Linked DNA regions of Caenorhabditis elegans. The protein of the gene in region 2 interacts with the protein of the main gene of each other region in a pairwise test. Each region holds a gene or a part of one and is shown on either strand. Other genes may lie near its edges.

The links.
Region 1: the proteins of skr-3 (region 2) and T07E3.4 interact in a two-hybrid assay, tested with the Caenorhabditis elegans proteins (one study listed by BioGRID).
Region 3: the proteins of skr-3 (region 2) and fbxa-167 interact in a two-hybrid assay, tested with the Caenorhabditis elegans proteins (one study listed by BioGRID).
Region 4: the proteins of skr-3 (region 2) and cul-1 interact in a two-hybrid assay, tested with the Caenorhabditis elegans proteins (2 studies listed by BioGRID).

Annotation. Positions count from the first base shown.
Region 1 is NC_003281.10:6,894,854-6,902,578, reverse strand, and holds T07E3.4 (F-box domain-containing protein), read right to left. Parts: upstream 4,564-7,725; 5' UTR 4,540-4,563; coding exon 4,463-4,539; exon of another isoform or gene 4,414-4,462; coding exon 4,236-4,413; intron 3,694-4,235; coding exon 3,556-3,693; intron 3,506-3,555; coding exon 3,332-3,505; intron 3,280-3,331; coding exon 2,790-3,279; intron 2,402-2,789; coding exon 2,175-2,401; 3' UTR 1,974-2,174; downstream 1-1,973. Other genes in the region: DNA repair protein brc-2, read left to right, coding at 1-133, 217-390, 442-564, 608-692, 739-835, 1,075-1,202, 1,268-1,385, 1,759-1,800; K04C2.2 (DNA polymerase V), read right to left, coding at 7,644-7,709.
Region 2 is NC_003283.11:16,118,173-16,124,047, reverse strand, and holds skr-3 (Skp1-related protein), read right to left. Parts: upstream 2,225-5,875; 5' UTR 2,196-2,224; coding exon 2,133-2,195; intron 2,079-2,132; coding exon 1,812-2,078; intron 1,749-1,811; coding exon 1,575-1,748; 3' UTR 1,400-1,574; downstream 1-1,399. Other genes in the region: Nuclear hormone receptor family member nhr-111, read left to right, coding at 1-50, 247-386, 442-531, 573-744, 794-993; str-103 (Serpentine receptor class r-10), read left to right, coding at 5,347-5,544, 5,606-5,693.
Region 3 is NC_003280.10:13,638,813-13,646,227, reverse strand, and holds fbxa-167 (F-box domain-containing protein), read right to left. Parts: upstream 4,740-7,415; 5' UTR 4,667-4,739; coding exon 4,470-4,666; intron 4,420-4,469; coding exon 4,336-4,419; intron 3,410-4,335; coding exon 2,752-3,409; intron 2,699-2,751; coding exon 2,504-2,698; 3' UTR 2,405-2,503; downstream 1-2,404.
Region 4 is NC_003281.10:10,468,502-10,477,515, forward strand, and holds cul-1 (Cullin-1), read left to right. Parts: upstream 1-2,735; 5' UTR 2,736-2,736; coding exon 2,737-2,864; intron 2,865-2,918; coding exon 2,919-4,149; intron 4,150-4,671; coding exon 4,672-5,133; intron 5,134-5,292; coding exon 5,293-5,619; intron 5,620-5,674; coding exon 5,675-5,737; intron 5,738-6,251; coding exon 6,252-6,383; 3' UTR 6,384-6,628; downstream 6,629-9,014. Other genes in the region: D2045.5 (non-specific serine/threonine protein kinase), read right to left, coding at 1-177, 465-915, 970-1,002; D2045.9 (Glycosyltransferase 25 family member), read left to right, coding at 7,487-7,746, 8,419-8,578, 8,870-9,014. UniProt on the Caenorhabditis elegans protein: Probable core component of multiple cullin-RING-based SCF (SKP1-CUL1-F-box) E3 ubiquitin-protein ligase complexes which mediate the ubiquitination and subsequent proteasomal degradation of target proteins.

The DNA.
Region 1 (7,725 bases), on a different chromosome or scaffold from region 2:
TCAACAACTACAAAACGGCCGGCTAGCGGCGGTTTCGAAGATTTCGAAGCTCCACCAGCAAAAAAATCAACCAGCAGTTCTTCTAAAAAAAGTAAAAAACATTCGAAAAAAGAAAAGAAGAAGGAGTTTAAAGGTTAGTTAAGCTCTAGAATTGGCTCTCCTTTTTGAAAACTGTTCTTTATTCCGTAATTCTCGTAATCCGGAGTCTTTTTTCAGAAATCCACGCCGATGTTTTGCGTGTTTCTCGAATCTACGAAAAGGATAAATTCCGAATTATTCTTCAAGAATCCAGCTCAACTCCTCTAATCCTGGCCACTTGTAGCTACAATCGTGGCTCTGATATTAAATTTGGCGACAGAATTCATGTCGACGCGGAAGTCTGTAAAAAATGTAATGCTCAATCGATTGTAGCTATTGATTTAATTTTTCGTAAACTTTCAGCAAGCTCAGGCGATGTTACAGAAATCTATATTGATAGAGTTCTGAAAAATAAGGAAAATGGTGCGAAATCCGGTATCCGACGCCATTCAATTGCCAAGAAGCCGTTTTGCATCAAACCCAGATGTGAGCCATTTCGAGTTTTCACCTAAAAAAATTATTATTTCAGTTATCCACGAATTGTCAGACACGAAAATCAAAAAAACAGTTGTCCAAGTTAACTTACTCGATTTAAATTTGGATTTTTATGCAGGGTACATACTGATTCCTTGATAATTAATATAATAATATTGGTTTCAGATGTTCGAAATGCAAACACTCTCTCCCAGAAGCAGCGAATCAATGCGAGTTTTGTAAGGATTCCCAAGGAAAATCTGAATTGTCGATGTATTCTAGAGTATGTTCTTTATATTTATATTGCCTATTTCCTAATATAGAACATTTTTAATGTTTTGGATAAATAGCCTATTTTCAGCTAAAATCTCAAATTTTTCCGACTTGTCAGTGGTGCGGCGGTCGGAACTCACTTCTGCGAGTTGTGACATTGTCAAGTTGACAAAGTTTGAGATTTTAGCTGAATTTAGATAATTTTTTGAATTTTAGTTTTTGGGAAGTATCGTTACAAAAAAACTTCAGGTGCGAGTTATGGACTTCTCCGGTCAAATGTTTATCAATGTGACTACAAAAAATATGAAGAAATTACTCGATTTGTTAGGATATGAAGGATTTGACAATTGGTTCCGATTCAAAGACCCCCAGGAACGGTGAGATTTTTGCGGCGTTTTAACTTTCAATTTATAATTTTTTAAATTCCGTTGCATTTTTTCAGACAAAACTATGTGTTCCGCCCTGTTATGGTTGAAATCGAAAAATCGAATGATGAATGGGAATGCACTGACGTGGCAGAAGTCGACTGGAAAGATTTTGGCTCTTACTTGAAACATAAAGTATAATTTATTGATACCGAAAAATTACAGAGAACATTTTTTGTTTCACATATCATAATTTTAGAAGTCGGCCAGAATTTCAGACATTTTCTTCATTTTCTTATATCTCAATTGCGTTAAATTTTTTTCTCGAATCTGATAAATCAAAAAAATTCGCCAAAAATCCCTAAATCACCCAAAAATTTCACATTTTTGAAAAGGTTGCAATTTACAAAAAAAAACTTTGACTTGAAATTTGAGAAATCTAAGAATTTTGTAGTGTTTCATTATGATTATCGGTCACGTTAGAGTGATAAGTGTGCTAATTTTACAATTTTAATTAAGTCTCAAAATTATATCAGCTAAAATTTAATAAAATTCCATAATTTTTCAGGAAGACAAGAAGAAACGCCGTTCGAAAAAGAAGCATCCATAATATTCCATTCATGTGAATATTCATTTAATCATGTTTCATTTATTTTATCATTTTTTTGTTGTGTTTATTCGTTTTAACGTAGATGGTTCAAATGCTTTAATTTATTCTCAAAGAATATCCCCGTTCTAATTTTATATGTTCCCCTTCTGTTGTTTCCATGTTAAAGAATTATTATGAAACGATGAAATCTTCATCAGAAATTCGAAAATTTAGAAAAATAGAAACCCGAAACAAGAAAATATACAAGTACAAATACAAGTAGGCACACGTCATTTTGAAGTTGTGGTCTTATAAAGACAATTTCTAAAACCCAAAATGTTTGGGAAATCGAGAGATAAGGGGGGATCAATTGGAAAATAAATTCTATGAATTGATTAAAGTTGGAAGGAAGGTGGAACAGTCAGAAGATTGTTATTATTGCAATTTTGTTCGGAGATTTTCAGTTTTTCAGCCAATTCTTTGTCTTCAAGAGCTGCCAGAGCAATTGTAAATTCGCGTTTTGTATTTTCCTCCTGCACATTATACAATGTCAATGAGCCCGAGCCACGGCGATTTTTGCATCGAAGTCCACGTCGAAGGCATTCGGATTCAAATTGAGATCCTGGAATATATTATAGTTTATTGATTATGTATTAAAGCTGTGATTTTTGCTTCAAAATACGGTAACCGGCCTCGACACGACAATTTTGGTTGAATGCGACAGGTGTGTGCGCCTTTAAAGGAGTACTGTAATTTCAAATCGTTGTGACGATTCCGCAGAAATGAAAGCTTGACGATACAGTAGTCTTTATAGGCGCGCACCTTTTTGAAGATTCCAAAAATTTGCCGTGCCGAGACCTGGTACCGTATTCTTGGCAAAAAATCGGACAATTTCGCGTCTGGAATACGTTCTGACAAAAGTCGACCTGACTTTTCAAAAAATGTAGTTTGGTTTCAACAATTTTACTTTTAGGTTAATAATAATTTTAAAGCTCGTGGTTTTTACTCACCTTTAACTTTTGGACACCTCTTGACTGTGCATACTTGACTTCTCAACTGCTTTTCCGATTCATTACACTGCTCGAACCATTCTTTTGTGTAATCACATACTGTATTAGTTGTAACTGCACATCGATCCAGAATCATTGTTGGAAATGCTCCAAGTCTTGCAAAATGTCTCAATGCTCCGTCTCCAATATCCAGATTACGTGTGGCATTCGACGCGAATCGTACTCCATCAATGCAAATTCTACGAACCGTTGGAGCATCCAGTTGAGCCAAATGCTCGTCAGTTACCGAATCTGCTCGCATTCCAGTACATTGAGTGATTTCGAAGATTTCAAGTGTTTTTGCGACAGGGGCAAGGAATCGATGAAGGGAGAGGCAGTTGGATAATGAGAAATCAACTTGAGATAGGGAAAGTTGAATCAGTTTTGTGAGATCTGCATACTGAAATTGGCGACGCAGAAATTCGATCAAATCATCCGAAAGTGGAACATTCTGAAATTAAATATTTCATTGATTTTTCTATAGTTCAACCTTGTAAACCTACCTTTAACAGAATTCTTTGAATTGCAAATCGTCTAAAGTTGAACTCAAACGAACTTCTCGGTGATCTAACCGTACTCCATGGGACTACTGTAGTTTTTGTCTTCTGACCTTCATAGCTAACCCATCGCATTTCAATCCCCTTCTTTCCGAGTCCAGAAATCACAAGGCGGGAGAGCTGAAATTTTAAAATTAGAAGGAATTAAATTTAAAAGAAAAGTAACTTACCACATTAATTTTAACATCAGCAATATGATCCATACATGCATTAAATCGTCGGGATAATCTTCGCGCAGCGAGAACAGTGGATGGCTCCGTGGATTTGCAGTTTTCCAAAATTTCAAATAGAATTTCATTTGGGATGCGCTGAAAATAAGACTATAAAAACTAAAAACAGAGACCACTAAATTTGAGAACTACAAAAAGAAATCATGTGATTGATCCCAATCACCTTATCATTTAAAAAAGTACGTTTTGTCTAACATCTACTATGTTTTACGTCACTAGGTTTCTTCATGTACTTCACGTGAAGTTTGGTTTAACACATATCTGTGGAGAGAAATCATAAGACTTCCAGAGGGACAGCTGTTCCCGGGGGATGCCCGGTGTCTTGTTTTTGATCAAAATTTCCTGAACAGGAAACGAAAAAACGTTTGAGTCTGTTCATTGAACATACTGGTTATAATTCATGTTGATGGTGGCATAGAACAAAACATATTTTTGCAGTTTCATTTATTTAACTTAACTTAAATTTTGATATGGTACGTCCCTTTGAACCTACGGCTCAAAAATTTTGAAATTCCTATTTATGCAAATATATCAACTGTCGAAAATACGAACGTTCATATACTTTCTTGACTAAATACTATTTTTTTCTGATAAAATTGTTTTTTACCCGAAAAACTCACATCAAAATACGTTGGCTTCTCTTTAACTGTCACCATATTCGCACAAACTTTCTCAGCTGATGACGTCACTGGTGCTCCATTTTTCTTGGCAGATGTCTTTGTGAATAGCCATTCAGCAATCGACTTGAGTCCGTTCTTCTTTCCGTCTTTCTTCACTTTACGGTATTTGGTTTCCAAACTGAAAAATTGAATATTCAAGTTAGTTAGGCAATTGAAGCTTAACCTACAAGGAGCCCTTGAACTCTTTTCTAAAGTCATGGGATACTGTAGATGTGTTAAAACTGCGCTTTCTTTGCAACTCCATTGTGTTAACGGCGCAAGAATTTTGCTGGAAAAACACAAAATTTAGATCTTAAAAACAGGTTTCAAAACGAAGAAAAAAAAATCAAAATTTCAACAGTTGAAATTTCAATCAGAAGAAAGAGAGAGAGAAGAGGAAAAGTGCTAATGATCAGTGGAGAGAAAAGAGAATGAAGACGAAATGATGGAGGAAAATGTTGAAGGCGGAGCGGTTGAGACGCAGAGAAAATGAGACATCTGACTCCACCCACTTCATGTGCAATTCACATGGACAGATCTGTGACATAGAGACTGGGGACTACAACGAAACGGAGAACGAGGAAAATGACTTTTGAAGATGGAATGATTAACTGAAAAGAAAGGAACTAGTCTACGGTTAGATAATTCTATTTATAGAAGTAAATTGTGTTCTTTACTGCAAACTATTCTTTGGAAATAGTCTTAAATTTCGAAAGAAATACAGTATTTGGAGTAGCGCTAGTAGGAATTTTGTCAAAATATACTAAAAATTATTCAAATTATTATATTCTGAAATATCCTAGATTTTTTGAAATCTTTCAGACAAAGTTTTGGCAAATTGCCAAATGTTCGAAAAATTGACTTTTTGGGAAATTTAGAGAATTTCTGTTTTCATGAGTTTGCTGAACGTTTTTTACTCTTTAAAAGTGTTAAAGGATACAATGACCTCGTAAAAATTATGAATTGGAGGTGGAATAGCACAATTTCTAAAATGAAAATATCGTATGAAAAAGAAATTAAAGAGATTTTATAGCTTATGTGCGTATTTGGAACTTGTCAAAAAAAAATTCTATGAGTTAAAAATTGTAATATTGGATTATTGTGGGTGCTAAATTACGGAACAATGCATCAAGTTAATCGCAGTTTTGAATTTTGTCAATTTACCAAGACGTTCAGAATGATAGTTTCAAAAGTTCTACATCCAAAATTTTTAGCAATATTTGGTGACTTCGATTCAAGCTCTGTAAAAAAGAAATATCTAGAAATAAACAATTGGAAATTAAGAATAAAATCACGAGAACATTGAATGTTTTGTCATCTTTGAAAATTCTCTGAAACTTTGTACTCTGTCTTTGTTTTATTTACATCTTCCCGATCACTAGTCAATTTTGAGTGCGAACCACTGTTCAATTTTTAAATATTTTGTGATTTGTGTAGCTTTCTGTTCTGAAATTATGTGAACAATGATGGCGTATTGTTTTTCTGATTTCAAGGGTGCTGGTACGTGTAATATTAAACTGATGTTCTACTGATCATCTGTTTGTTTGTTGATTGTTCAATCGTGTTGTTTTATTTTTTTTCTCTAAAATGAAACAGAACACCGGCCATAATAAATTGGTGACGATTGACTTTGTTTTTTTTTTTGTTTTTTTTTTTGCGCCTTCAGTTCGCCCGCTTTGATTCTTATAATTTGCCATTACGATTTAAACCCGTTATGAAATATTTGAGATGAGCCGGACGGGAATAAATGTGAAGAAAGCATGCTTCTAGAACAATTTCTAGCACTTTTTCAGCCACACCTTAATTTTTCAGATATCTTTCAATATATCAATCTGAAATCTTAAAAGGCCATTCACTCATCAAAAGTACTCATCAATGATCAGATTTTACTAGAAACAATCAGAAATCATTAGAGTCCGTCTCTTATCTCTATGTCTCATGTTCCGTGCGGTGTCCGCGCGGCACCAAATGACGCTAAATTCAGTGCGTATTTTGATCTGTCTACGTCATCAAACGGGGGTACGAGTAGGTCAATTAGAGTGCTTGTACGGAATATATTCAAATTTGAGTTTAATGGAAAAAGGTAGCTGGGGTCGCAAAGCAAACACCGACCTGATCGAATTCCATTTTCTATCAATGAGCAAAGTTCAGTTTTCCCACGTCGTGTTCTTCAAAAATGTAATAGTCACCTTTAAATCGTTCCTTGTGAAATTCACCAGAACTGTGGTATTCTCCATAACAGCAAACATCACTCAATGGAATTTTTTTTTCAAAAGATCAACGAGTTATACGGTAGTTTGTGGGCGGAGTTTAGTGTCGATTAAAATAGTAACAACTGTTCTTTTCCGGATTCTTATCAATCTGATTTAAAAAAAAATTGTTTTCAAAATATTTGACTTCAATGTACACATTTACTATTAGGTGCACTTTTTCAGGTGGTTGTTGACAGCAACTGAATGTTGACTATAAAAGGAAGTGAAGGACATTTTGACAAAAAATGTATATATTTGGAAGTGTTGATTTTTGTAAAAACAATTTTTAAGAAAAGACTTGGGTCTCGACACGATCAAAACATTGTAACTACCATATCCACAAGAAATTTCAAATGTTCTCCTAGTGAATTTTTACTTTTTTCTCTCGATTTTTGAAAATTAAAAAAACAATTTTTTAAAAGTTTTTTGTCGGAAAATCTGGATAATTCATTTTTTAATGGCTAAAAAAAGACAATCAAAAAGATTCATCTTTATTCAAACTTTGTTCGGAAGCTTCTACCGTAATCTTCTCGGAAATGTTCAATGATTCCTGTTTCTTTTCCCACTCTCTCATTCTTCCACGTTATTTCACCAACTTTTGAGAGAACTTCTGCGTCGTTTGATCTGTCTCTCAAAAACTTTCAAAAAGTGACCGAAAACAACTGATACGACTTTGATAGACATTTAGCTTCTAGAAATCATATAAGACGAAGAGACGCAGAGAAAGTGTCTTTCGAAAATCGTCTCATTGAAGAGAGAGCATGAGACACAGACTATCTTTCATCAACGAGTTTCTTATCAGTGTAACTTTTGCAGAAAGAACAAAAGTTAGAGACTGTGTAGATCGTGGCGACGCAGTGTGCTGATCATTGAGGAAACTGATCGGAGGAAAAAACGGATTTTCAAAAGTCCTCGAAACATTTAGGTTTTCTTCGCTGTGTCATTTGGGAAGAACTAAATCTTCAAAAAAAACAATTTCAATTGAATAAAAAACATTAAAATTCAACAATTGGAAGAACATTTCAAGGGGAACAGAGGGAATTGATTAAAACAATTAAAAAACAACAACAACAAATGAGATAACAATGTGGAGGGAGCATTTTTTTGTCTAAAAATATTAATTTTCAATATCCAAGCTCTTCTTGATAGAGGTGAATGCACCAGCGATAGACTTTCCGATGATCTGAAATATTGCACTT
Region 2 (5,875 bases):
CAAGTCCTGTCGAATTAAAAAGTGCTTCAAGAAGGGGATGAATAAGAATGGTAAGCTGCTTCTCTGAGTTTGGGCTTCAGATCATTAACTTTGTGTTTGCACCATATAGTGCGGTAGGTATTTTTCAGTGGCCGACATTTTTTTGAGTTTCGCGCCGCACCATATTAACAAAGGCCTGAGGCCGGCAGAAGCCTCCTGAAGCCGGCGAAGGCGACACAGTTTCGTCTCTAAATAATTATTTTCCAGCTGTGCAACCCGAGAGAACTTCCCATAGCTACACTGTAGAGTATGTCGAGTTGCCCTCATTCCGAGAGTATTCCAAGGGACTTCTGCCTACTCACTCTGATCGTCTCAGATTCCAACACGAACATGCTCAACATGAAATTGTTAGTTAATCAGGAGACAAACTATCAACCTGAGACACCACAAATTTAATTTCAGGACACAAGCTCCGTGCTAGTTCATCTGAAAAACGCACTCCAGTGGGTGCAACAGTTTTCGCTCTTCGCAGTGCTTTCCGATGTTGAAAAGGTCTAAATGCCAAACATAAAAGTCATTAAAAAAATTTCCAGAGCCAGATCATACTGACCCAGTGGCCACATCTTTTGTGCCTCGCGTTGTTCGAAAACTCCGAAAAAATCTTCATCGATGAAAAATTTGCACAACTGGCTGAGAAATTCAAATCCCTCGAACTTTCGGCGCAGGATTATTTCCTCTTGAAGGGAATTATTATTTTCACGGAAAGTAAGTTTAACTAGAAAAGCTGCTGAGCTTTCAGAAACTAAAATTTCAGCCAAAGATGGCACTGATCTCAAATTCGATCGCCAACTTGATATCTGTATCGGCCTTCTCAATCAGTTGCACCTGGAGTCTTCAAAGTCCAAATCTGGAAGGCTTCTATTTCTCCTCGGCGAGCTTAAATCCTATTCTACTAGACAGCTTGAATCTCTCCTGGATCTTAAAGCTTGTGAGATTGTGATTAGTTTTCTTTAAATTTTGACTATTTTTCTGATGCTGTTATATGCACACATTACCCCCATTTTGCTCACTAGTAGTGCTCAGCTTAAGCTTAGACTTAGGCTTACGGTTAAGCTTAGGCTAAGGCTTAGGCCTTGGCATAGGTCCTGGCTTAGAGATTTTCATTTAATTTGCAACTGTTTCCTCAAAAACAATGTTCAAACCCAAATTTCTTTCCTATTTTTTCTCCAGATTCCCCCAAGGCAACCAAATTTTTTAAACAATTTTCTTCTCGATCAGTTGAAATACTTCCAAAAACGTTACAACGATTTTGAACAGTTTTTTTACAAGTCAAAACAGTAGTTGGCTGCAAATTTGGCCGCCAAAGTTTTTTTTTTTTGCAAATGGTAAATTCATACACAATGAACAAACTACACAATATACAGACGTTATACATTTATTTAAATTATATTTTTTGTTGGAAGCAATGTAAAGCGTACTTGACAGACAAAGTTTTTTTTTGTTTAAAATAATTTTTGATTTTGTTTTAAGTGACATAAAAGAGGTATGTAAACCGAATCAGATAAAGTTCAAGTTAATTATGTTTACCAGGGAGCTTAATCCTCGCACCAAGCGTTTTCCTTCTTCATGGCCTCCCGTTCCTCCTCGGAAAAATCGTTCTCAATGTTGAAGAGGGTTCGGATTTGGCTTGGAGTTTTACCCTTCATCATGTTAGCCACATTCTGGGTGGTCACGTCCAAAAGCCCACGGATGTCGAGGTAGTTGGCGGCCTGAAAAAGAAATCGGTTTAATGTTCAATTCTGGAGAATAGCTTATAAAACTTTAATATTTACCAAGATAATTTCGAACAAGGTTCCCTGATCGACTTTCATGAATTCGGCGTCCCATTCACTAATGTCTACCGTCTTTTTGTTTTCGTCGACTTTCTTTGGCTCATCGTCGGCGTGATGCTCGCACCAGGTGATAATCTTCTCAAGGATAGTAGAAGTCACTTTCTGAAGTGGAATCGTGTCTTCAGAAGTGGATCCAGATTCTTCAATTCCAAGGTTTTGGATAATATCTGTGATGGTCTTGGATTGACTGATCACTTTTCGTGAGACCTATAAACTTACATTTTATTATTTAGTTAAAGGAAATTATAATTTAAAAAATACCGTGAAAGTTTTATCATCAGAAGAGGTGAGCTTGATTTGTTTCTGGCTGTCGGCGTCTGACATTTTTTAAATATTCGATTTCTTTGTGTAATCTGGAAAATTTGAAATACAGTCAAGAGTCGAAGAGTCAACTCAAGAAGAAAAAAAAATTCGAAAGTTACTTTCAGCAGAAAAGAGACGAAAATTGCTGAGTATTTTATGTGAAATATGAAAACCATCGGTTCCCTTATCTATATTTGAAGAAGGGAGAGAATGGGGTGTGTGTACACATTTCGAAACAAATTGCAGTGTCCAACGTCATGCGATATATTTTTTAGTAAAGTGTGTTCAAAAGATCAAAGATTTATTTTTTTTTAATTTTAAATTGAAAAAATTGAACGAAAATATTTTGGTACGCATTTTGATTATAAAACCTCTCAAGTTTTAACCAAGAAAATACTGAATTTGACAATTACCGTATTTCCTCTATTAGTATTGCACCTGACTATTTAACTTTGAAACGTTATATCTCGGTTCATTTTGAAGATATGAGTTTATCATTAATTACGAAATGATGGAAAAAAAACTAACAAATATTTTGTCAGTTGACAATGTTTAAATAGGACAAACAATGACTGAGATATAAGCTGACAAAGTTGAACTTTGGGGTGGAATACAATTAGAGGAAATACGGTGTGCTATTGGAAATTTAACTAAAAAAGAATGTACTCATTTTCAAATTGATAAGAACAGAAAAGTGAGCAAATGTCTGATACCTCGGTTGGTTTATAAGCTGGAAAACGTTGCCTTGCTACGTTTAAATGTCGAAATTTGTGTTGATAGGAACAGTGTACACAACTTGAGAATAAGAGGCTGAGGAATTTAAAGATGGGAGGAGAGATAGAGAGAAGTGAGAAAGTGTGACGAATTGTTGAGTAATGTATGTATGAAATTGTGAACGAAAAAAAGACAATTTTCAGTGGAATACATTGAATTAAATGTGGATCAGAGTCTAGTTACTTTATTTTTAAATTTAAGTTTAAAAAAAACTCAAAATTGCCAGAAAATACCAAATTTTATAATGAAAAAGTACCACGAATTTTTTATTCTGAAAAAAAATGAATTGCTATGAAAATGCTAAATATTTTTATTGGCAGACCGCAATTTGTTAAAAGGGGTCAGAAAATTGGCCGACTTAACTTTCCTGCTCGATATCGGTTAACAAACAGTCGTTTTTTTTTATATTTCGCAATTTGAGATGATTTTTGAAATTCAGTTAAAAATAATTTTTATTAGATTTTACTGAAAATAGTTATGTTTTTCTACGGACAAAACATATTTTAAGCGTAAAAACCGTGATAAAAACAATTAAAAAACGTTTTAGGCAATCTGATGCTGAATGAGTCGCACTCTCCCGTGTCAATAGAGCGCGGTTGCGAAGGTTTTTGTTTCCTCACGGTGGTACAACAACTAAATCAGTGCCAACGCGATCTACCGTACGAACACAAATTTCACCGGTTAGGAAATTTTCAACTCAAAAATTTCTTAATAGAAAAGATGGAGAATTGTCCTGTGGTCATTTTTCATATGCATCGCAAAATAAAATTTGCGGCTTGTTTTCGAGATAGCAGTCAATATAGGTTTTCGGACTGGGTATCTTAAGCCAAACCATCTAGTTTATGTACTACCGTGTCCTAGGAAGGATCCTGCCCAGGGGTGATAAACATGAATGCGGACGGTTTTTAATACAAATGGTGACACTGGAAAATGAACATTAAAAGTTAATGCCTTTGAAAAATTTCATTAAATTCAAATGCTTTTCGATGAAAAATAACTTTCAGTACTTTTAAAATGTTTTGTGAAATTTCTAGAGCAATTCCAGTTGTCATTATACAATTTCTTAATGGTGTTAATGGAAAAAGTGTCATGTAAAAAGGAAATATAAATTTCTCAACGTAAAAAATTTTGTGAACATTTTCTTACTCTAAATGAAAAGTTAGATAGAAACATCAATTTCAAAAACTCATACGCATGTTCTTCACGAACAAAATTAGTTTTATTGAGTAACTGTAGGTAGCAGAAAGAAATCGCCGTTTGGTGTGTTTTCTGCTTTATGGAAGAAAAATCGTACAAATAATACAATGGATAATTCGGTTGAGAAGAAAAAAAATTTCATAGCCGTAAGTTTTCTATAAGTCGTGCTCCATAATTTGGTGATTTTATAAACAATTTGAAAGTAATACAGTTTGTGAAAAATATTACAACAACTATGGTAAAACAAAAAGTGGGTAGAACATCAGTTAAATACGTGTTTTTATTTTCTTCCATAAAAATTATTGCTAGGTTTTAAAAAATTTAGACTTGTTTCTTCATCCTGAAAAGTTATTGTCCTGTGCATCAGGAAAGAATATACACGTTGAACTTCTTCGGAAGGATGGGACTTATGTGTTCTCTTTCCCTTTGACCGAGAATAATCTTGGTCGTTTATCTCACGTGATTCTGTCGAGTAAGGTGCATTTAAAGCCCATTGGTCACCAAGTTTTTTTTTTTTTTTTCATTTTGGCTACCATGGGGCTGACGTGACAATAATCGTATGATAACTAATAACAGAACACAACTGCCCTGTCTACGCCTATACAATTGTTTTTTGGAATAACCATCACATACGATTGTCAAATTTCCGGTACATCATGTTGTGTCTTGACAAGGAAGCTAATAAGACACGCCTACCACAGACACTACGATTCTGTTTTTGTATTAGTTAGTATTTTGCGTGATGTGGGGAGGACCACCTTATCTGCCTCATGCATATTTCTGCATAGAGCCTGGGTTTTTCCCGAATACGTTTTTTGGTTTTATCCTCGTCTACCTGCTAAATTACATTTCTAAATTCGTGTTGACTCGTCTCTAGATGTCCTTTGCTTTTTTGTCTCTTTTGCATTGAATTCTCATAATAAATTCATTTTTGAGATATAAAAACCCCGTTTTCTCCTATTTTTACTCGTATCTCGGATTGTATTCGCGTTCTTGTTGACTGGACTATCCAAAAATGTCTCGACTATCCAAAAATATTATACATTCCTGAAAATCACAATTTCCAGCATTCAGAAAAAGTATACAAACTGTATGTTAAAAATTGTTCTCTGTAATTTCTACGAAAGCCATCCAGTTACATCAACATTTTGACGAGATCGAAAAATTCAAAAATTCTTCATTTTTTTGCTAAAAAGCAGAAATGTGTTCTACTTCTTGGATCGAGTTGACATCGTATGCTGAAACAATTGGATTTTCTCTTTCAATATCTTTGAATTCAGTACTTTTATTGTTGATAAGCATGATGCCAAAGAAAACATTCGGTAGATATAAATACTTGATGTTTTCATTTTCAGTACTTGGGATAATTTATTCCTGTTGCGATTTTTGGAGTAAACCAGTGAGTACTTTGTTAACAGATATATTTAAAAAGTAAAATTGTGAAACTGAAGTATTTTCAGAACGTTTACATCTCAAAAAACGCCTTTGCCGTTTTCAATGTGCTAAAAGACACTGGTTTTACAAAATCTTTCGGGTCACTTGCAATAGGTGAGAAAGTCTTTTTCAAAATGTGAGCTTGTGAATATGGGCCTACAAAATTTTCAAACTTTCGCAAAACTTCAAAAATTTTGGCAAGACTTTGTTTTTACCGCGCCCAAGTTTCGAAAAATTCGCAAAGCGTTTCATTTCAAATCTTGCGGTCTATGAACGTTGTTGGATAATCTCTATCA
Region 3 (7,415 bases), on a different chromosome or scaffold from region 2:
CAGCTGTATTGCCAAATTGTTTATCGGAAATCTGGCGGAACAGCTGAGAGGTGTTACGAAGGGCGACCCTGAAAAGACAACTGTAACAATAACACAATTGTTGGCTGACTAACTGACCTGTCAAACAAATTCACGTGCTCCATTATTTCTTCAATCATTTCCAGAGGCATGTCTTGTAACAATGGAGTTTTAGGTTCTTGGCTGAAATTTTTAAACATTTTGAGAGCAAATTTTGAGCTTGAGCACCTACCTCATATCATAGTTCAAATCCAAATTCCCATTGTAAAATCGATAGAACCAGAGCTCAAACTCTCTATATTCCATGAGCTCATCACCAAAAGCATCGCAAAACTTTTTGAAAGATTCCTCGATTGGCAGTTTTAACAGGGCATCGTTGAGAATAAAAGTTCGATGTGCTATCGGGCTGGTTTCAATACTTTCAGACATTTCTAGCAGGTTTCCTGAAAACTTTTAAACGACTTTAGGGTATAGCAAGTTTAATGGAAACGTTCAAAGTAATCAAGATTTGATAAAAAACGTTATGAGATACCGAATATAACATAATTAAGAAATGAATAATCAGAAACAAAAAAGTTAATTCGGTCACAATTCGAAAAAAAAATCAAACAAAATCGATAAGAAATGTTGAACCAGAAGATTAGGCACAGAGAGGGAAAGAAAATAGAAGATATGCTGAGAAGGGGGAGACACTGTCTTTCTGCCAAATGGATAGTAATCGCGCACCCATCGCTTATCTCCCAGGAGACATTTCTCCTGGGAGATATTGGCTGGAATTCAAATTTATTGGCTGGAATTCAATTTTGGCTGGAATTCGAATTTTCTGAGAAAACAATTTTGGGGTTTTTTTTACCTCCTGCCAACCCTCCTTGCGTATCTTTGCGCATCTAGTACCAGGTACCATGATGTTTATGTCTGTACCACTTCCCAGGAGTAATCTCTTCTGGGAAGTGATGGGAACAGCGATAGAGCTCATTTACAACTCTTTTCGTAAAAATACAGTCGATTGGGAAGAGGCGACCTCGTGATGAGGCTACAATAACGCACATTGGACCATTTACTCGTTTCTCTCTTTTTTTTCCTCTTTACTGTCACAGGTTGCAGAACCACTGTTTTCTTTCTCCCAATCAAAGTGGGGACAAAAATTTGACTTTAAAAAAAAATGTTTTGGATAGTTTCGAAAACGGTCAATTTGGCTTGTTGAAAATTTTAATATTTTCAGAGTGAGCAAATATCGATTTGAAAATGATCATATAACTTTAATAAGTAGTGCCTGAAGCAAAATTGAAGTTGAAAAAACTAATCAAGCATACATTTGGTGTTTTACTTTAAAACATAGACAATAAGTCGTAGGAACCATTTTAAAAATTTTTGTCGTGTAAACTCAAACTCCAAGAACAATTTGTCGTTGTTCTTGGAGTTTGAGTTACAAATTAGTAGGGAAAACTGAGTTCAGTTTAATATTTCCGCGCAAAGTGATTACTAGAGATACAGGCATTTTTTTTTGTTTTTTCCGCAGTATTGGATTTTGTTGTCAAACTTTATTTAAATTTTTTCAGCGACGGAATTGAACGCGTTGATTGTAGTGATGGATACGATATAGAAAGAAATGATGGCCTTCTTGCAACTGTGTTTTATCAAAACATGGGTACCGACTTTTTTGTGTGGCACGATAGATTTCCAACATATTCACACCGGAATTTACCGTCCACATGATAATGCAAACAAATTGAGAATATTTTTAGAGCTTGTTTATTACAGTCGCGGTAAAGCGATTGTTCCGTGAGCAAAGCAATTCTGTAAATTTTGTGTAATTTAAACCTACTTTATTTAACAACCAGCCACTTTTCAGCGAAGAAACCTTGTTTTACGTTAACTTTAACAACTCATACAACTCATTTAACAACAACGTGCGAATAAACGAAATATTAACATAAAAGCTCAACTAACAAGGGGCTCGTCAGAAAGGGCCAATTGGGCTTGCATATGAGACCTAGTCATTCGATAATTTTTAGCGGCGATACTCTAGAAGCAAGCTCACAGCGGACTTTCAAACATCCTAAAAATAGCACTATATCGAGACGAACTTCTCTTTTCTTCAATTTTTCAATTTTTTCAAAAACATTCAAATATGAATAGAATGCTTATAAATAATGTTATTATCACAATTTTGAATCTGAAACACTCTTCTTTTGCAATTACATTTATGGTTTTTTTTTAAATGATTTTTTGATCTAATTTCTGTAGTTGCCCATGTATTTTCATAAAAATTGTGGACACGGGGTTTTTGACATTTGGAATCGAATGGCATTAGCCATTTTTTCAAAAAAATTTCAGAATGTGGTAAAACGGAAAAATTAAGGGGGAAGTTGGGCGCACAGTATTATATTTCATTAATAAAACTTTATTTCTGAAAAGTATCTAAACTCAATTTATGGCAACAAGATATATAAATAAGCGTGGAATTATGACTGCTAGACTCCTTTTATAGCTTCCGTTTAACATAAATTTCCTTGGAACACATAGTTATTTCAAATGAGGAATTTTTAGTCTTGAAGTTGAATGTGTTGTTAGCAGCGTCTGTATATTTTGGGTTGAATACTTTTCCGATTTTTCGAGTATCTGTGTTAAGGACTCTGAACGTTCCTGATCTGAAGTCAGAGGTGCGGAGTTCGAGGGTCTGAAAATCAGAATAAAATTTAATTTAGGGTCAAACATTTTCCAGTATTTCACCTCCTTAACCTTAACCGCATCCTGAACTGAAAACGATTTCAGACGAACATCAATTGATTGAAAGTGCAGCAAATCTTTAATATCCATCTCAATGTCTTCATGACTCGATATATCAAGTGTCTTTGCTGTCTTCCATTGCTCCAGCTCAACGAGCTTCTCAATTCCAGACAACTCTTGTATACTGTACATTGATAGTTGTATCTCTTCAACATTTTTCAGGTTTTTGAGAACACTAGATGTTTCGTGGAAGTTTAGTCCTTCGAATTCAATGTTCAGAACATGGGGTTCGGAATTTTCAAGCACAGTTAATAATTCTTCCATACACTGGGTATCCTCTTTATTATGCTCCAAAAAGTCCAGTCTTAACTTTTCCAGCTTCAACTTCGGGCTCTTCAATACCCTAGACAGATAGTTCAATGCAACAGTCACATGAGAAACTCCTTCAATTTTCCAATCCTTTGAATCCTCGTATTGCGACATTTTAGTAATTACACAATCATCATCCACACGTTTACATATAATATCTGTATAGTCACTTTCATGATAGAAGCATACATGTACGTGGTTTGGAATAGAAGTCACTGAGATGTTGGTGACCTCGTTGACGTGATCCTCGGCGATGCTGCGGAAGCATGGCGAGACGTTGCGGAGGAGAAGTCTGGAATTTTGAATTTTTGGAAGTGTTATTTGAAATATTTAAAGTAGGGCTTTCAAGGCAGGCCCGGCTTCAGGGCCTCACGCCTGTCTGAAAATTTTCTACATTTTATGTGAATCTTCAAACTTCAAATTTTGTCATTTCTATTAATTTGTCCATTTTCCAATTATGAAATGAAGCATAAGGCGCGTTTTGAGGCGAGAGGCAGGCGTGGGTCACCTTAAGGTCAGGCCGGCAGGAGTTTTAACGCCTGCCTGCCTGACCTTATGGAAGACCTAATTTAAATTTTCAGATACTAGTATTGAAATTACTTTATAAGTTTCATAGTAAAACTTTTTATTTTTTTGTTAATTTTAAAGTTTTCATATATGCCGGAATTAAAAATTTCCGGCAAATCGACAAATTGTCGGAATTGAGAATTTCCGGCAAATCGGCAAGTTGGCGGAATTCAGAATTTCCGGCAAATCGGCAAGTTGCTGGAATTGAAAATTTCTGGCAAATCGGCAAGTTGCCGAAAATGAAAATTTCTGGCAAATCGGCAAGTTGCCGAAAATGAAAATTTCTGGCAAATCGGCAAGTTGCCGGAATTGAAAATTTCCGGCAAATCGGCAAGTTGGCGGAATTAAAAATTTCCGGCAAATCGACAAATTGCCGGAATTGAGAATTTCCGGCAAATCGGCAAGTTGCCGGAATTGAAAATTTCTGAAAAATCGGCAAGATGCCGGAATTGAAAATTTCTGGTAACAAATCGGCATACCGGAAATTTGCCGATTTGCCAAATTTGTCGACAAAAAAAAATTGCCGAACGGTAATTGCCGCCCACTTCTGATCATGCATATATTTTTTGCTTAATTTTAAGAATATTTTTTTAAAAATCCCCACGTCCAAAAAACATACATTTTCAAAGAAAAACATTTTTTAAAACTAACCTGTCCAGAAAATTCAAGTTTTCCACAATTTTGAACAATATTTCAATTGGCAACTCGGATAGCGATGCTGTTTTTGGTTCCCGGCTGAATTTCTTTCTAATAAATTACATTTTAGAACTTATCTTTACACTTACCTCATATCATAATCCAAATCCTCGTTTCCATGATAAAATCGATAAAACCAGCGCTCAAATTCTCGATATTCCATAAAATCATTTCCAAACGCATTGCAAAAATTCTTGAAAGACTCGAAAATTGGCCGCTTTTGGCGGACCTCGTAGAGAATGCAAGCTCGAATAGCAATTGGGTTGGTTTCCAGGATGGCAGGCATTTTACTGGACCTTTTTAACTTTAAAAACTCTAGAATTGGACGGAAAATCAATGAAAATGCGGGAAAATGGAAAGAGGGGAAGCAGTGGAGATGGAAAAGAGAAATAGACAAGAGAGATGAAAAATATGAGAGGGGAGAGACAGCAGCACAGAACAAGTGAGAAATTGGAAGTAGAATGATAAGAGTCGCATCGACCGGTAGAATACCGTATTCTTTTCATTAAATTGGGGACAAACTTTAAAAAAATTAAATGTTTGGTCGTTTTGCACCATAAGAGCAACAAAATGCTACCACCATTAAAAAAATTTTATAGTAGTTATGTTCATCTAGCAAAAAAGTGTCCTACCTAAAAAAAATAGCAGATTTTTTGTTCTTTTAGAAAAATGTATGGCCGTCTCTGTAGCTACGATATTCATTTCAAAAAACCCAAAAAAGTATTTTTTTCAAAATGCTACCATTTTTAATATTTTTGGAAATTCTTGCACATTGGTTATTATCATGTAGCAAAAAAGTGTCTTACCTAAAAAAATAGCAGATTTTTTCATCTTTTAGACAAATGTATGACCGTCTCTGTTTCTACGATATACATTTCAAAAGCCCCAAAAAAGTATTTTTTTTCAAAATGCTACCATTTTAAATATTTTTGGAAATTCTTGCACATTGGTTATAATCATATTGAGCAAAAAAGTGCCCTACCTAGAAAAATAGCATTATAGCAACAAAAAAAAGCTGAATTTCGTTATATAATTAAAAAAGAGCTCAAAATTTGAAACAAGTTTCTGTAAAAACATTCTGAAAAATGTTAATTTTGAGTGAAATATGAAGGCCCGGATTTAGTGAAATGTTTCAAAAATAATAATTTATCTGTACTGAAAACCAAAAATGAAAATTGTGTCCTTTTGGTAGAATTGAACTCATCTCATCAAAAATCACAACAGTAATAAGTCCCATACTAATTTTAAAGTTTGACATTCATTTTTGTGAAAATCTTGAAATTTTTAACTATGAGCTATTGAAATATTCCTTTTATTCCCGACAAAACCCTCCGTTTTGTTCCAATATTTGCCCATTATTTATTCATACACCCGTTTTGCACCCATTTTTGTGTATTCCGCTCGCGTCTTTTGTTTTTCTCTCTATCTCTCTCTCTCTCTCTAAATGTGTCACATTTTTGTGTGTTGCCCATCTTCTCCTTCTACGTTCGTTTTTTGTCTCTTGCCGCTCGCTGACCATAAACGCATTTTCTCTCTTCTTTTCGGTGTGTTTTCGGTGTAACTATGCTGAAAATATAATTTATTTTTGAAGTTTTAGCTTCTTAGGACTCAATATCTTTAAATTGGTTTAGAATGTTTTGTGATGACGTTGTCACAACCGAAAAATTTAATTAACAAGAATTATTGTTGTTGGAATTATTTTAACTTTCTAAAAATTCAGTTTTAATTGTTTTTGCCCATAAAACGCTGTTGAAAATTTTTTGCCAAATTAGAAAATTGCCAAAAATTGAAATTCTCCTCTAATTGCCCAACTCCCAAAATAAAACTTATCCCAAATTGGCAACTTGTCAAAATTTATACCTCATGCCAAATTGGCAGATGGCCAAAAATTAAAATTCTCGCCAAATTGGCGAATTGCCAAAAATTCAAATTCTTGCCTAATTGGCAAAGTGCAAAAAAAAGGAAATTCTTATCAACTTGGCACAATGCCAAAAATGGAAAGTCCGTCAATTTGGTAATATGGCAAAAATTCTAGATTCCACCAAATTGGCAGATTGCCAAAAAATGAAAATCCTAGCCAAATTGGCAATTTCAAATAATGAATAATTGCCAATTTGCCAGAAAAAAGAAATTCTTGCCAAAAATTACATTTCCGCCAATCCGGCAAAATGGCGAAAATTAAAATTCTTGACAAATTTGCAGATTGCAAAAAAAAGCTTACCTAATTGCCAAATTGGCACTATGCCAAAAAGGAAATTATTGCCAATTTGCCAAAAACTACATTTTTTGCCAATTTGGTAATATGATCAAAATATAAAACTCTTGCCAAATTGGCAAATTTTTTGGCAATTTGCCAATTTGGCGAGAATTTAAATTTTTTTTGCAATTTGCCAATTTGGCGAGAATTTCCTTTTTTGGCAAATTGGCAAGAATTTCCTTTTTTTTGGCAATTTGCCAATTTGGCGAGAATTTAAAATTTTTTTGCAATTTGCCAATTTGGCGAGAATTTCCTTTTTTGGCAAATTGGCAAGAATTTCCTTTTTTTTGGCAATTTGCCAATTTGGCGAGAATTTAACATTTTTTGCCAATTTGCCAATTTGGAAAAAATTTCCTTTTTTGGCAATTTGTCAGTTTGGCAAGAATTTTCATTTTGGTAAATTGGCAAGAATTTCCTTTTTTTGGCAATAATTTTCATTTTTCCCAATTTGGCATGAATTTTCTATATTTTTTTTGTAGTTTGCAAATTCGGCAAAAATTTCAATATTGACAATTTGCCAGTTTTACATGAACTTAAATTCCTGCCAAGTCGACAAAATGCCAAAAATACAACATTTTTTCCCGTTTTTCAAACTTTCCCCATCTAGATACTTTACTCCCATCTACCCCATTGTGTGTGTGTTCTCTGACGTCGACTGACCATAACTGATAACCGCCATTTTGACCTCAACGACGTTTCCTGTTCTTCGTTTTTTCCTCCTCCACCCCCGGCCAGTCAAAACTTGCTATCTAGCCTCCACCATCAGCAGCATCAGCCC
Region 4 (9,014 bases), on a different chromosome or scaffold from region 2:
GCTCGATGAGCATGTAGAGCCACGACCAGAGATCATCGACGCGTCCCTGCTCTTTCCGATTGTGAACGTTCATGCTGCAATAGCGAGGAGTTCCACGGAATAGTTGCTCGCCGGATCGAGCTCTGCGGAGTGCGGTCTCTCCGTTCTCTCGTTTGGCGGTGAATTGACGGACCATTCCTGAACGAAGTTTGGTGTGATTTTTGAATCAAAAATACGGTGCCGGGTCTCGACACGACAAACATGTGTGTTGAATGCGACGTGCACCTTTAAAGATTACTGTACATTTCAGTTTTTCATGATTCAGAGGATGGATCTGGAAAGTGTTTTTTTTTCGAGAAAAAACGCAACATAAGGAAAACAGTTAAAAAAAATTACAGTACTCATTTAAAGGCGCACACCTTCTCGCATCAAACAAAATATTGTCGTGTCGAGTAACGGGATCGTCAAAATTCGTAAAAATTTACCATAATCAATAAGATAGACGTTTTTGGCGTCACTCCCATGAACCCCGGTCACACAATTTCCCGGCTTAATATCCCGATGAGTGAATCCCACTTCATGAATCTGTTTGATAGCAAACAACGTTGCCATCGCGAGACGAAGAGTCGTCTGCTCACAGAATCTCGGAGTATTAGCATCCCGTTTATGAGCCATCAGATCCTTGCCAAGAAGAGTCATCACCATGAAACAATACGATTTTCGATCGCCAGCATCCATCAATCTTGCACAAAACGGCAGTGGAGCCAGTGATTTGAGCACGTGAGCCTCCAGCTTCAGAACCCCGCCGTCACTCACGTCTCCCTCGACTTTCATTGCGGCGTATGTCTGAAAGCGGGTCAGATCTCGTACTTTGAACACCGCACCCATACCGCCTTCGCCGAGTTTTTCAACGATTTTCCAACGCTTTGCGATTATCTGAAATTGAGGGAAATTGTGAATTTCCGGCTGAAAATGCTCAGAGAAACTCACTTTTCCTTCTGTGATCGCTTGAATTTCTTCCATACTGATTCTGACCACGAAATCGATTGAAACTGTGTAGCTAATAGAGAAATGTAGCTTTTCGAAATATTGAAATAAATTTAATTATTTATTCAATCCTTTTATGTATTGGTTTTTTGTTATTCACATTTTAAAATATTTTTTATTTTTCACGGCCGTTGTTCACCGATCATATGATTACGGTGAAAATTCTAAAACTATTTATTTCCTATTTTATACCAAATAGTTGCAACATATTCTGATAAATCATGTAAGTCTTGTAAGAATACAAAATGTTCTTAGATTTAATTAATGTTGTTTTTTCTTGTTATTCCAGGTACAGTATCTTTTTAAAGGCGCACGAACTAATAAGTTTACCGAGTCCCGCCAAGAACTGTTTCGAGTTTTACAGCGATTTTTGTTCATTTTTTTTCAGTTTTTGTCTATTTATTTGTGAAAGAATAATTTCTCCTCTTTTCCGCAATAGAAATATAAAAAATGATTACAGTTTTATGGGCTCCTGTTTAAAAAACCTAGTTCTACAGTACTTCGATTATTACTTCCACTAATTAAAATTTCCTTTGGGCATCGCCAGGATCGATGTACAGTTAAAAATCTGTTTTCCACCTGTTGTTTTATCGAATTCTTTTTTTACTTTTTTTTCTGCATAAAATGCATGTTTTCTCCAGTTTTTCTCGAATGAAAACGCGTTTTTCAACTTTAAACTATTAAAAATTCGCTTTCGTGTATTTTGCACATCGAAACACCTAAAAAACAAACTTTGCTATTGTTAAAACCTTAGAAAACTCCGCCCGTTCATTGCACAGCCGCTAATCATTCCCTCCTGTGACCTTTCTTTTCCAGATCATCCCGCCATCTCAGCTGTCTTTTGTGCACTAACAGAACCATTGTACTCACCAGAATTTCTTTAAGAATCGATGAAGACACAAGATGAGGCGTCTCTAGCTTGTGTCGCGCAGTCTCCGTCTCCAAGGGTGTTTAGCTCACTGAAATGGGCTCTGAAAAATCAACTGAAATTCGCTTTTTTTCTGTTCTTGGAAATTCCTGAGTCCCGGGGAAAATGAAATAGTCTAAAATTATTATTATTTAGGTGTCTTTCATCTGAAAATTTTCCAAAATTCACAGAGTTTTTGAAAATCTCCTGTTAAGAACAATTTAATTTATTTCCCCAGTATCACTTGAAAAGCTAGAATTATCGCTGGAACAATTTCCTTATGTATTTATTTAATTTCCCCTTTTCCCAGGCTAGCAAATTAGAAAATCTCCTATTTTCCCTCCAATTCCCAGTTAAATTTATCGATTTGCGGTGAGAATCGCGTCCGAGGGCAATCGATTTACTGTCTTCCCGCGATTTTCAGCGCGTCTTCTTAATTTCCAGTCGGAGGCTCACTATCGAGTCATTTCTAACGTCTGCTGGCTCACAAGTATCCCCATTCAGTGATGGCTCTGGATTTTCGTCTTTTTTTTCTATTCTTCCAGGATATCTATATTTCTCCCCCAATTTTGCTCCAGTTTTCCAATTTTTTTGAAAACATCTATTTTTCCGGGATCTCATAAATTTTCTCAATTTCAAGCCCATTATTTCCACCTTCGGTGACTTTTTCCCAACACATGATGATTTTGGATTGGAGCGCGTTTGCGTTTGGGCCCTTGTTTCCTCGTTCCTCTGTTTCTTGCGAAATTGACAAATCCCTTGATTTTAATCGACAATTATTTTTTAAAAATGTGTTTTTCAGTATGACAAATAGCGAACCGAGAAGAATGACGTGTGATTCCGAGGTGGTTTGGAAGAAATTACAAGATGGACTTGATGTAGCGTATCGCAGAGAAAATATGGCGCCAAAAGACTATATGACTCTTTACACGTAAGATTTCCCCCCGAAATTCCACAGAAACTCAATAAAATCTTTAATTTTCAGAAGCGTCTATGACTACTGCACATCGATAACATTGTCCACAAGCCGCCGAGACGGCGAAGACGGTCGAGCAGAATCTTCAACTCCAGCACGAACCGCTGGCGCGGATTTTGTCGGTCACGAGATGTACCAGCGTGTTGAGGAATATGTAAAAGCGTACGTAATCGCTGTTTGTGAAAAGGGCGCCGAGTTGTCGGGCGAGGATCTTCTGAAATACTACACAACTGAATGGGAGAACTTCCGAATCTCGTCGAAGGTGATGGATGGTATTTTTGCCTACCTCAATCGTCATTGGATCAGACGTGAGCTCGACGAGGGCCATGAGAACATTTACATGGTTTATACACTTGCGTTGGTCGTCTGGAAGCGTAACTTGTTCAATGATCTTAAGGATAAGGTGATTGATGCGATGCTCGAGCTGATTCGTTCCGAGAGAACCGGATCCATGATCAACAGCCGATACATTTCTGGAGTTGTCGAGTGTCTTGTGGAGTTGGGTGTTGACGATTCGGAGACCGATGCGAAGAAGGACGCGGAGACCAAGAAGCTGGCCGTTTACAAGGAATTCTTCGAAGTCAAGTTTTTGGAGGCGACCCGCGGATTTTATACCCAAGAGGCGGCAAATTTCCTGAGCAACGGAGGAAATGTGACAGATTACATGATTAAAGTGGAGACAAGACTTAATCAAGAGGATGATCGCTGTCAACTCTACCTGAATTCTTCCACAAAAACTCCACTTGCAACTTGCTGTGAATCTGTGCTCATCTCTAATCAGCTTGACTTCCTCCAGAGACACTTCGGTGGTCTTCTTGTCGATAAACGAGACGATGACCTTTCCAGAATGTTCAAGCTTTGCGATAGAGTGCCGAATGGACTCGACGAGCTCAGAAAATCCCTGGAGAATCACATCGCAAAGGAGGGTCACCAGGCGTTGGAAAGAGTTGCTATGGAGGCGGCAACCGACGCGAAACTCTACGTGAAGACGCTTCTGGAGGTTCATGAACGTTATCAAAGCCTTGTCAATCGATCATTCAAAAATGAGCCAGGATTCATGCAATCACTCGATAAGGCGGCGACTTCTTTTATCAATAATAATGCCGTCACTAAACGTGCCCCGCCACAGGCTCAGTTGACAAAGTCCGCGGAGCTTCTTGCCAGATATTGTGATCAACTGCTCAGAAAAAGCTCGAAGATGCCCGATGAGGCGGAGCTCGAGGAGTTGCAGACGAAGATTGTAGGTTTTTCTCGCTTTTTTTTTTCTCAAAATGGCGTAATTTCCAGCTAAAATTTGAAATTTAACCAACTTTTTGCATATTTTGGTTGTTTATTTCGTTGATTGAGGAACATTTTCGATCGATGAGTGCACACTGCGAAACTGATAAGTTGGCTAAATTTGAGATTTTCGCTGAAAAAAAAAAACAGATTCCTCTCCTTTTTTTCATATCGTTTTTCATACCGATTTTTTCATATCGATTCATATCGAGGCTTCTCAAAATTTCGAAAAATACGGCAATTTTCCCAACTTTTCAATTATTTACCTTTTTCTGACGTTTAAATGTGGCTATAAATCGACCTAAATCAACGAAAAACGCCAGTAATCAATTAAAAATCAATTTCCGACATACGGGAAAATTTGAGGTTTTATCTAAAATTGCCATATTAAAGGATTAAAAGATTTAAAATATTTCAAACCTCCATAGAAATGAAAACCCAATTTCTAAAAAGTTAGCTCAAAATTCTAAAATTTCTATTCCAGATGGTTGTGTTCAAGTACATTGACGATAAGGATGTATTCTCCAAATTCTACACGAAAATGTTCAGCAAACGACTTATCAGTGAACTCTCAGCAAGTGATGAAGCCGAGGCTAACTTTATCACGAAGCTCAAGAGTATGTGCGGGTACGAGTATACCGCCCGTCTCTCGAAAATGGTCAACGATACTCAAGTCAGCAAGGATTTAACCGCGGATTTCAAGGAAAAGAAAGCGGATATGCTCGGCCAGAAATCCGTTGAATTCAATGTTCTCGTGCTCAGTTCGGGCTCATGGCCGACTTTCCCAACGACACCAATAACTCTTCCACAGCAGCTGTCGAAGACTATTGAGATCTTTGGACAATTCTACAATGAGAAGTTCAATGGACGTCGGCTCACGTGGGTTTACTCGCAGAGTCGTGGAGAGATCACTTCTACAGCTTTTCCCAAGAAATATGTGTTTACTGTAAGTTTAAACGTGGAATTTCTATCTAAAAATATTTTTTAAAAATCCGGAAGAAAATGCCTGAAAAAAGTCCAAAATTTTACTATCTGCCACCCAGCTAAAATTTGAATTTTCACTTGGATTTTATCGAATAACAGCTAAAAACCTAAAATTTTCCAGGCCACAACTGCTCAAATGTGCACAATGCTTTTGTTCAACGAACAGGACTCGTACACTGTCGAACAAATCGCCGCTGCCACAAAAATGGACGAAAAGTCAGCACCAGCCATTGTCGGCTCTCTCATCAAAAATCTTGTGCTCAAAGCGGACACAGAACTCCAAAAAGAGGATGAAGTACCGATGACGGCGACCGTAAGCCTCAACAAAGCCTACATGAACAAGAAAGTTCGTGTCGATTTGTCAAAATTCACGATGAAGCAGGACGCCGTGCGTGATACGGAAAATGTGCAGAAAAATGTTGAGGAGGATCGGAAGAGCGTGATTAGTGTAAGTTTTTGATGAGAAATCGGCGGTTTTGGAGAGAAAAATTCAATAATTTCAGGCTTGCATCGTAAGAATCATGAAAACTCGCAAACGTGTACAGCATCAGCAGCTTATGACAGAGGTTCGTTTGGAAATTTCAAATTTTCGAAAAAAATCGATAAAATCTACGTGGAAATTTAATTTTAATGAACTTTCGAAAAAAATCTGATTATGGAAAAACGAGTTTTTCATAATTTGTTGATAAAATCTACGTGGAAATTCAAATTTTCTATACATTTTCGTAAAAAAAACGCGTCGAAATTCGAATTTCTTATGAAATTTCGATAAAATTCTCTTGGAAATTCAATTTTCAAAAAAAAAGTTCACCTGAAATTGGTAGAAACTCTGTAAAAATTGAAAAAAAAATCTTCAAAATTTTCGAGCTTTCGTAGTGCATTTTCAACACAAAATTCTGAAGAAATAAATTAAAACCCCTAAAATAAAAGATGATATCCACGTGGAAAATCAAGTTTTCCATGAAATTTGAAAAAAAAAAATCACCGGAAAAATCGAATTTTCTTTGAAATTTTAAAAAACTCCACTTGGAAATTCAAAGAAAAAACATCTAAAACCCTCTAAATATGATATTTTTGCAGGTGATCACACAACTTTCCGGTCGATTCAAGCCAAAGGTTGAAATGATCAAGAGATGCATTGGATCACTCATCGAAAAGGAATATATGCTCCGTACAGAAGGACAAAAAGATCTCTATGAGTACCTCGCCTAATTCATTTCATTTTAAATATTCTATTTTCTCTTTTAAAAACTATTTTTCCCCTTTACTTTTTTCGCCCAGTTTTATTCTCCACCCTCTTCTTCCCTTCATATCCGTGTTTTTGAAAACTTCAACACCATCTGTATTCTATTACTTATTCTCCTCTCCAAGTCCCTCCTTATTCGATTGTTCTTCTTTACAGAAGCGGGTCCTGGCTTCATTTTGCGCTCTCTGGTAAATGGTCCTGGGTTTTGTAAATCGTTTGTGTGTAGAATATTCGAAAAACCGTATACTCGGTAAACCTTTTTGATTTTTTTTCGTCTTTTTTCGGAAAAATTAAAAAAAAATTCAACTTCCAAGTGAATTTTTCAGTTTTTTCAAGGCCAAATGCAAAAAGGTGAGTAGTCACTTGAACCACAGACAACAAAAAAATCGATGACGAATTATTACAACAAGACAATTTGGATGAGACACTACTGCTGCTCTGACCCCTCCGTCTGTTCACCAGATGCACTTTTTCCCACTGCTCTGAGTCTTCACACTAATGCTTTGCTCAGTCTTCTCTGTTTATAGACTACTATTTGAAGGCTAACTTTCCACGTTGCGTTGACCGGGAAATTTGAATTTTCAGTTGTTTTTTATTACACAGTCGCGAAATTTTCCGTACCCGGTCTCGACGTGACAAATTTTTGCTAAATGTGAAAAGGTGTGCGCCTTTAAAGAGTACTGTAATTTCAAATTTTCGTTTTTGTGTAATTTTCTTCGATTTTTTTAAAAAGTTTTACTTTAAACATTTGTTTATTTCAAAAATATAACAGTAAACGTACATAAATTTCAGCAAAAATTGTGAGAAAAACTTTGAAATATCGATTAAAATTTCGCTGAAACGAAAGTTTGATATTACAGTACTCTTTAAAGGCACACATCCTTTTGCGTTTAACGAAAATTGTCGTTTCAAGACCGGGATATCTTATTTTTTGGCGTAAAAATCGCAATTAGAAATTCCAATCTTCACTGTATAATGGAAACTTTAAAAAATTCTACTATTCTAATATTTTTTAGAACTTTTTTGAAAAAAATCGATAAAAAGTTTCCAGAATCCCTTCACAAAATATATGACCGAATTTCTACACTGCTTATTACTCTTCCACGTGTTTCTGAGCTCGTGGGCTCTATTTCCGGGAGCTGAGCCAGATGAGGGAGACGTTCGGCACATTTATCCGCCGGTGTATATAGGGGTTGGGCTCGGTGAGCACGCCCACGCAATTCCATACTTTTTGGGTTGGCTGGAGAATTTGGATTATCCAAAGGATAGGATTAAAGTGGAAATTTTCATTTTAAGCAAGGAAGATGCGACGATTCATCAGGTTAAATGGTTGGTTTAAAGGCGCATAACTTGCAAACCACAGGAACATGGATTAAGCTTAGTCTTAGGTTTAGGCGTAGGCGTAGGCTTAGGCTCAGGCTTTGGCTTAGGCTTAGGCTTATGCCCATGCGTAGGCTTAGGCGCAGGTTTAGGCTTGGCGTCAGTGGCGAGCGTTAGCTGACGCTATTTAGGCTTGGGTTTATAGCGTTTTTTCATTTTTCAAAGGGTTCCCGTTGGCCGATCAAAGCGAAATTTAACAGAGAGTCGTATAGGCCACCAAGAAGCTTAAGTCTGAAGTTTCAAATTGATTCCATCAATTAGGCTTAGGCTTGGGCTTGGGCTTTGGCTTAGGCTTAGGCTTATGCTTATTCGTAGGCTTAGGCTTAGGTATAGACATAGACTTAGGCTTAGCCTTAGGCTTAAGATTCGGCTTAGGCTTACGCTTAAGCTTAGGCTTAGTCTTAGGATTTTGCTTAGGGTTAGGCTTAGGCTAAGGTTTAGGCTTAGGCATAAGATCAGGCTTAGGCTCAGGCGTACGCTTAGGCTTAGGTTTACGCTTAGGCTCCTTAACTTCGTGCTCCTGCAACTTTTTGAAAAAACTGCTGAAAAAAAATGGCAACGAACAAATTGTAGCATGGAAAATATTTTGTCAGATAATTTTCCAAAAAACGTAGTTTTCAGGTGGCTAGACTCTACAAAACAATACTTCAAATCTGTCAAAATAATCGAAGAATCAGAAAATTGGCTGGAAAGCGGATTGAGGAATGCGAGACTTCAAAAAGTTGAACGTTGTCTTCTTATTTCAGGAGATACAGTTCCAACTGAGATGAATTTGATTCAGGTGAGAAATAGGTAACAAATTAGATTTGCGCGTCAAATATGGTGCATCGTTTGACGGAATTTGCTAAGAAAAACTCAAGTGATGGTGCATTGAAGATGGCTTCAGCACATATTTTAGTTGTGGACTAAATGCACCATATTTGACGCATCTCCAACAATTTTCAAAGTCTAAATTATAGTTAGTCTGTATACATATATCTAGTTTTGACAAGTCTAAATTAAAAATTGGAAAGTTTCAGATTTAAAAAAAATCGAATATATATTTTTTTAAATCCAGTTCCAAAAGTTTCAGTTTCTATTCAACGAAAAAACCCACGTGGCAGTATCCCCACTTTTCCAATCAATAGATGGATCCTCCAACATCGATGAACCTTCTGAAACCCTCATAAATCAAAATAATGTTCGCGAAGAAATTCTGTCATTTTCACTTCCATTGG